Linked DNA regions of Sus scrofa. The protein of the gene in region 2 purifies or fractionates together with the protein of the main gene of each other region. This does not show direct contact. Links are inferred from orthologs where the notes say so. Each region holds a gene or a part of one and is shown on either strand. Other genes may lie near its edges.

Evidence for each region. Proteins that work in one complex are often made in the same cells at the same time.
Region 1: the proteins of CCDC68 (region 2) and CEP170 purify together in Homo sapiens (co-immunoprecipitation; 3 studies listed by BioGRID and IntAct, counting the BioPlex papers as one, with this or other methods). This does not show direct contact. The link is inferred for Sus scrofa from reciprocal best matches to the Homo sapiens genes CCDC68 and CEP170.

Annotation. Positions count from the first base shown.
Region 1 is NC_010452.4:16,188,348-16,192,578, forward strand, and holds the start of CEP170 (centrosomal protein of 170 kDa), read right to left. Parts: upstream 2,801-4,231; 5' UTR 2,520-2,800; intron 1-2,519. Other genes in the region: SDCCAG8 (serologically defined colon cancer antigen 8), read left to right, coding at 3,634-3,700.
Region 2 is NC_010443.5:104,471,782-104,475,949, forward strand, and holds the start of CCDC68 (coiled-coil domain-containing protein 68), read right to left. Parts: upstream 2,801-4,168; 5' UTR 2,650-2,800; intron 1-2,649. UniProt on the Homo sapiens protein: Centriolar protein required for centriole subdistal appendage assembly and microtubule anchoring in interphase cells. Together with CCDC120, cooperate with subdistal appendage components ODF2, NIN and CEP170 for hierarchical subdistal appendage assembly.

The DNA.
Region 1 (4,231 bases), on a different chromosome or scaffold from region 2:
ATCACTTAAGCACAGAGTTTTTTAAAAGTGTTTTGATATTTACATTAACAGGCATAATGTATGATAATTTTACAATATAAATTTCACTTCTAACACTAAATTGGAAAATATGCAGATGGTTATTTATTTCCATACAAAGTCATTTTAGAACATCATGAAATTTAACAGTAAGACAAATTTCAAGTTTAATATAATTCCACATGGTGAATTTAATTACAGATTACTTTTTAAGTAAGTTGAAATGTAAGCGATATACTAATTCTTTTGTTTTGCTTTGGCTCACTCGCAGCACATGGAAGATCCCAGGCCAGGGATCAAAATTTCACCTCAGGAGAGAACCTGAACCATAGCAGTGACAAGGCCAGATCCTTAACCCACTGGGCCATAAGAGAAGTCCATGATATACTAATTTTTTTAAAAAGTCTATTAAAGTGCAATGTAGAATTAAAGGATTAAAAAGTATAAGACAACAAATAAGCAATTTATGGCAAACTCAATTTCAACAAAAAAGCATACATTTAATTAAAAGTTCAACTTGAGTGTTCTCCTTAAAAAGTAAATTAAGCTGAAAATAATAAAATTCATTAACTGAAGAAAAACAAACCTCATAGGTTCTTGTTATGTGGCAATTTGATTTTTAAGAGTTTATATATAGTTGATCATACTATAAAATACAATATAAGACAACAGTACTAAAATACGGTTACTAATAAGAAGTAGGGGGAAAATTCCAACAGCTTTTGTTTTTAAGAAAAGCCCACTTAGGGTATCTTTTTCTATATCCTTAAGTTAATACATAAAACTATAGTTCTACATCATTAGTATTATTATCTTTACTTCAAAAGAAAAAGACTAGACTGCTACAACGGAGCTGTCAATGAACCTGACTGTCACAGACAACTCAAAGAGTCTGTAGAGAAGCTTTCCCTAAAAGCTGGGGGACTAGGGGAGACAGCTGGGAGCTCACATTGCAGAGACGTTGGTTTTATTTGACTCTGGCTTTCATGAGTATTTTGGCTGGACACACAAGTCAGTTCACTTTCCAAGTTTTACGTCTTCCTCTTGTCTCTGTTAAGTGCTTTTAGACTCTTCAGCTTTAAAACACCAAAATTCTACAAGATCTACAAAGTTAAGAAAAAGTAAAAGCAGCACTGGTTTTACTTTTTAAAAAATAATGGCAGAAAAATACAAAATGGTTTGTAACTTGCAATGTAATAGTTCCAGAACTGAATTCCTAAACCGTTGCAGCCTACCCAGCCAGGGTTATATCAGTGCAGACCTGGATACTGTATTTATAATATAACTGTCTCCTCTCAAATCAGTCCTCCACCTGCTCCTCCCCATTCTCCTTCAATCTCTCTTCTGTTTGTTTTAACCCCAGCAAATGGTTGTATGCATTGTAAGCTTAATAATCAAATCATTTTAAGAGATGCGTTTTCAATCAAGTGTATCACCTACTTTACCACATTTCTCCCAAGTGGGTGAATTTTCATTAAGAGAATAAAAATATCAGTTCAAAAAGTCAGAAAAAGAAATGTACCAGGCCTATTTTTTGTTTTGCATGCTTAAAAAACAAAACGGAAAGATGTTTCCTAACCTCCTCCCTTAGGAACACGAATGCGTTACCCACCCAATAAAAAAACAATTCCGCCGGTTCATTTTCCTGCTACACAACAGCTTCGTCGTCAAGGCCCTTCCTAGTCCATTCTTCATCGTCATCTAGTAATTTTATATTGATCACCTTGGCAAGGCTTGGACAGGCACTGTCCTTGTCTTCCAGAAGCTTTACATTCTCCAAATAAATAAAAACTCTGCTACACACTAAAAAACAAAGATTCTATGACTCGGGATACAAATCCCACATCTTCCCGCCCTGTGTTAGGCAGCTGCTAATTTTTCCTTCCCTTGCATAAAATGAAGGGACACATACCAAAGACCACATTTGAATCTCAGGACAATGAAGTCGACAGGAAGCCACTTTCTCCTCCCCCGGTTTACTACCAAGCTACAGCCTGCGCGGGTGCAGTCGCCTGGCGGGGTGCGTGACACCACGTCTTCTACGCCCTCCCACCGCGTCCAAAAGGCTCCTCGCCGGACCCCCCAAATCACCCCACACCCCCAAAACAACCACACAATAAGGATCGACACCGAGCTGCTCGGACCGGGAAATATCCCTTCACCAGCGGCAGCGCAGCCATTCCCTCCACTGCTCCGCCCGCACCCCTGCACACTGCTTGGGCGGAGCGGCTGCACAAAGCCGGGAGAGCCCAGACGACTCAATACGTGGACACAAGCGGGGAAGCCGGGCCGCAGGACTGGGGGACGCGGGGGGGGAGGGGAGGGGCGGCCCCGCCGGGTCCCGGGTCCGGGGCGGGGGCAGCGCGCGGAGCCTACGGGAAGCGCCCCTCGCCGCCCAGCCCGCACCCCGCCCGCCGCGGGCCGCGCCCGAGCCCCGGCTGCAAACCGGAGGAGCAGGATGTGGGAAGACGGCGGCGACGGCATCAGAGTGCATCACTTACCCCTCACTGCTGAGAGGCACCGGACCGGGGGGCGGGGCGCGCCGCGTCCCGTGAGTCTCTCGCCAGCTTCCTCCCCCACCCCGTCGTCGTCGTCTTCGTCGTCGCCGCCGCCGCCGCGATCGAGCTCCTGGCCCCTCCGCGCCGCTGGGCAATAACGTTATTCCACACACGCTCCGCACATAGCGGTAACGGCAAGGAGCGGCCGCCCAGTGCGCAGGCGCCAGGGGAGAGGGCGAAGAGCCCGGCCCTACCCCTGCTCCGGCCCAGTCCCGGCGAACTTCTACTGCGCAGGCGCCAAGCACAGACAATGAAAAGGGGTTGTGTGGGGGGTCTCACCCACAGGCCTCGCCAGCTGCCGACTGCGCAGGCGTACACCAAAGACCTGCTTCAACAATGAGGAGGACTGGGCTTTAGCTGGGACCGCAACCCGTAAGGACTACATTTCCCAGCGGGCAGTGCGTCAACTCCTCCAAACTGAGGTCGGGTGGCCAGCTGGGTGTGCTAAAATTTGTAGCGTCAGCCGCTTTCACAATTTAGGCTGTTTGGGAGATTCAGAGCTTCTTTTTCCTGAGAATTTATTTGGCGGTGTTGGCAAAAGTTGTGGCTGAAGAGTGTAGAATTTATTTGCGTTCTTGAGACGCCTCAAGGGTCAACTGCATTCTAGCGAACTTAAAAGAATCAAGGCGTTCAGTGAGTGCTTTCTGTCAGATGGTCCAAACACACGATGGGATGGAGGCAGGACCAAGACAGGCAGCGCTACAGAAATGGGCGGAGCCTCCAAACGGTCTCTTGGCGACCAGATCTGGCAGCCAAACTGCTGAAGCGTGAGCTTGGAGCGCGTTGCCCTCTGGGAATTGTAGTTTGTTTGGGAGGGCGCCTGGGAACTTGAGACAGTAATCCCGGAACACGAGGACTACAATTTCCGAGGTCCACCACAAGGGCCCGTGGGTGGGAAGAGGCCCGGCTGGCTGCGTCTGGGATTCCGCGCTCCGGGTTGACAGCCGCGGCAGGAAGCGGGTGGGCGCCTGTGGGGCGCTGGGGCCTCTTATTCTCGGAGAGGAGAACCCTGGACACTACCCCACGCAACTCCCGTCTCTGAGCTCCGAGTGTGTGCATGGCGAAATCTTCGGAGAACTCTACCCTGGAGGAGATTCTGGGGCAGTATCAACGGAGTCTCCGGGGTGAGTTGCTCCGAACCTTTGCCCTAACCCCTTAATACCAGGGTCTCGTGGACGGGAGCTGACCAGGTGCATTTCCTAACGGCTTGGTTCGGCCCAAGCCAGAGTGCAGAGGAAGAAGCTGGATGTTGCTGTGATCTTTGAGGGAAGGCTAAATAGTTATTACGGTTAAGCAGCATCGCTTCCCTTGATTCCCATAGTTCCCATAGTTACCTGAACCAACTCCCTGATCTTGTCTTGGGCATCTTTTTCACCCGACGCCCGCAAAATCTCTAGGACGCTTCTATGAGTGTCGCCCACTTCCCCTACATCTCTCTTTTTAATCCAGTACATTTCTGATGCGCTCTTTTTACACATTCGAATTATAGTATGCTGGGTTGGATGTGATTTATTGGACAAGGAAAAAACACACTAATAATTATTTTAGTCACAACAGCTTCTATTTAGCGGCCCAGGCTATTTACACACATTAAATCACTTAAAACTTAACAACAGTCTTATGAGTGACCCTCTTCTACACCTGGGGACCTGGTG
Region 2 (4,168 bases):
GAAGCTAGATGCTAAACACTCTTCTGTATGATTGCATTGTATAAAGTGTACAGGAAAGGCAAATCTAAAGAGTCAGAAAGTAGACTGGTGGTTGCCTGGGGCTGGGTCTGAGGATGGGGAGTGACTGCAAACAGCCCCTTAAGATGGGTGGTTAAGGGGGGATGAAAATGTTCTAGAATTGTACTGTGATGATGGTTGCCCAATTCCATAAATGTTACTAAAAATCATTGAATTGGACACCTGGATTTTCTGGTATGTATATTATACTTCCAATAAACCTGCTTTTGAGAAAACAGCAAAAGAATAAAAAAAGGGAAAAATGCCTTGCATAAAGTCATTCTTCTGCTCTGAGGTAAAATATGACTGTAGTCATATTTTTTAACTTACAGGAAAAAAAAAAACTTGGATACAGTTTTCTCAATTTGAAATTTTTCACTCATTGATTTTTTTTCCCCCTAAATTACTGGCATCTACTACTCCAAGTTTAGTTTTTATTTAATTCCCATGAAATTGATATTAAACTATTTCAAGTTTAATATCAAAATACTGCATAGCATTAACAGACTACAATATTCCTAAATTCTTCCCCAGCCTAAGCAAAAGAGGAAACTGACCTAAGACGCAAATTCCTTTTAAAATCTATTTAAGTCAGTGTAAAAGAGTCAGTGATTTGAAACTAATCAGTCACTGTTAAAAATAGATGGATGATTAGGTGTGGTCCCTAATCTATGGCCTCAGGGTTGCCCTGAAGGATTTCAAACTGGTGTAAATTCCACAGGGACAAGAATGTGTCTTATTTGCACAAAGCTGTATCCCTCTGTGTCCCCAAGACAGAACAGGGTGCCCTGCACAGCAGGCACTCAACAAGTATTGGTTCAATGAGTATATGAATAGGCCCCTAAATTCTCTCTCTCTCTCTCTCTCTCTCACACACACACACACACACACACACACACACACACACACACGCGGGCACGTGCTTGCTTTTGTTTTCCAGACTCAGTGGATGGCTGTTTCCATGCTCAGTAAAATGTAAATACACTTAAACAGGCTATTACATTCAGAGTAACATTTTGCCATTATATTTTTTTTTCTATCAACAAATGGCCATCTAATTTTGATGTAAATATCTCACTTCAAAGACTCAAAGCTACTACTTCAAAAGACTTTTACAGTCCCTTCCAAATTCTTCAGTTGTTTCCTTTTTCAGTCATAATTCCAAACAAATAAATGTACACCTCATTTTTTAGTTTTGGCCAAATCTAGCTTATGTTTTTCAGCTTTGTCAGGGCTTTAGATTATAGCTCAAGCCCACTGTCCAGCACATTATAAATCAAAAAGCTAACAAATACATGCATCCCTGTTATTAATTCATGAAATCACAACAATGAATTATACAACTGAAATAGTATCTGTATATATTTCAGGAGTCTCTTTTTAGTTAGTGCAGCTTTAGTTACCATATTCAGCAAATCACAAAGGTAAAAACCTTTAAGTTTTCCTGGGTCGCAGGAAGTGTCAGCCATTTTCATTCTTTCTGTAAGTAATTGAGAAGGCCCTGCCTTAGGCACAAATTCCTCTGTGTCAGGGACCACCACTCTCAAATCAGTGGCATAGAGGGAGGGCTAGGGGGAGGGGCAGTGCAGCCCAGGAAACAGCAGCACCATTTGTGTCCGCTAGGATATCTGAGACTAAAGCTCAGATCGTATTTCTGAAAAGCCAGACTTGTGCAGAACTGAATATTTAATAGCACAGGTAAAATCAAAAGGACAGATTATGTTTTCCCTATTGCAAATGCAGAATAATTCCCTTTTGGACACTTCATCTAGACTGTATATAAAAGGAAGTAACAAAGGTTTTGATTCCTGAAATGAAACAACTATAGTATAAATAGTTATGTATGCTTGAGTTATGCTTCATTTATGTATGGGGCTAACTGCATCTTCTGTGCATATATATATGATCATATATAATTTATATATGTAAATAATAATATTTGATTATGTACGTAATTTTTTTCCTTTCAAAGAAGGTTGAAAATGTACAGCCATGTCATCATCCAATCTAAAATCTACCCTTGCACCGTCCTGTGCTATTCTTTCCGTAAGTTGACACTGCTCCTCTGCACAACTGCCTGGGGCTGAGTAACTTTCAGTTCTAAAATCCCATGACCATAGATAGCACTGTCAACCAATAGGCTGTTCTCCTTTAGCTACACCTGCAGCTACAGATGCCAGCACGGATGAATGAAGGTGTAAGACAACCATCTTCACTCACAAGCATTCGTTTGTGCTCTTAAAAATTTCAGGCGCGGTGATCTGTCAAAGTCGCCGCGCGGGGGTTCACAGGTGACAGCATGTTTTCTCCACCGCCTCTGAATCGCGAGAACCCCTGGCCGAGGGACGGCATAACAGCAATCGAAATAAATAATCAGGTGTGCACAGGGCTAAGGGTGGGGCATTCTCTCTCGAGGAAGGTAAGCTCCGTTCCTGGAAGAGCACAAACTTTTCGCCCAAGGAATTCAAGTCCAGAAGAGAGGTTTACAGGGAGAATATCCTCCTAACCGAGGATCTGTTTACAGGAAAATGTCTTTGGTGTGAGGGCGGCGCTGGGGGAACCGGCTCCAAGGGCACCTGGACATTCACTCACCTGGGGGTGACCTGTGCGCGGATCGCAGGGGCTCGTCTACCTTGGAGGGCGCTCAGCCAGAGCAGGATTCTGCCGCTGCTCCTCCCCTCGGCTCTGGACCTGGGCTGAGTCTTCTCCGTGGGGCTGGCTGGCTCCACCCCTCAGGGAGCGCCCGGGGCAGAGTCCGGCGCCCTGGTGGCTCCGGGGAGGAGCCTAGGCTCCTGCCGCCCCCGGAAGCACACGCCGGGCCCCAGGCGCTCCGGGGTGCCTTCCCTGCATCCCTCAACACTGCGTACCTCTCAGTAACTGAGTCATGTAAAGAGGGTAGTCGCTGCTTTATTAAAATGTTCTCTTTGCACAAACAATAAACTTTTGTTTTTGTTGCTTATAAATAAGCCTTTTTTATTTCGGAGTAATTTTAGATTTACAAAAAAAGTTGCAGAGAGAGTATAGAATTCTCCAAAACCCCCCTGCCGACGTCCCCTAATATTCATGTATTACATCGCCATAGTAGGCTGGTCAAAACTAAGAAGGTAACACTGATCCCTTTCTATTAAATAAACTCGACTTTTTTTTAGATTTCACTGGTTTTCCCCCTAATACCATTCTGTTCCAGGATCTCATTCAGGTTTCCACACTGCACTTAGTGTTAGGTCTTTTTAGTCTCTTCTTGTCTATGACAGTTTCTTAGTCTTTTCTTGTTTTCCTTAACTCAGTCAGTTTTGAAAACTTCGGCTAAGCTATTTTGTGGATATCTATCATTTATTTATTTTTTTATTTTTTAATTTCCTGGAGTATAGTTGACTTACAGTGTTGTGTTAGTTTCAGGTGTACAGCAAAGTGAATCAGTTATACCTATACCTGTATCCATCCTTTTTCAGATTCCTTTCCCAAATAGGCCACCACAGGACATTGAGTAGATTCCCCTGTGCTCTACAGTAGATCCTTGTTACTTACCTATTTCATATTTAGTAGCGTGTGTACACCAAACCAACCTCATTTGGTCTTGTCTGATGTTTTCCCATGATAAGGCTGTGGTTTGGGGTTTGGGGGAGGAAGACCACATCCTACTAGGTGCTGCATGACAGCAATCCTTGTTACTTGGTTAAAGTAGTGTCTCCCTGGTTTTTCCAAGGCAGAGCTACTATTTTTCTCTTTCCATCTTTGGATGACTAAGTTTAGCCCATATTTCAAGAGAGGGTGGGGAGAAGGAAAGTCCATCTCCTGGGGGGAGGCGTATCTACATTATTTGGAATTATTCTGTAGAGATGTGTTCCTTCTCTCCCATATCCCTATCTATTCAATCAGTATGGATTTATATATATATTTCTTGTATATTTTGAGCTGTAATTCAACAGTACATTACTTAATTTGCTGCTCAAATTTTTCCACATTTGACGATGGGGAAATCTTTCAGATTGGCTCCTGTGCCCTTTTGAAAATTCTTACAGAGCAGGTGAGAAAAGGAAATTCATTAATTATTTGCTCTGCCCCTCTCACATTTAACAGATTTGGAAAACTTCAACCAAAGTCTTCCAAA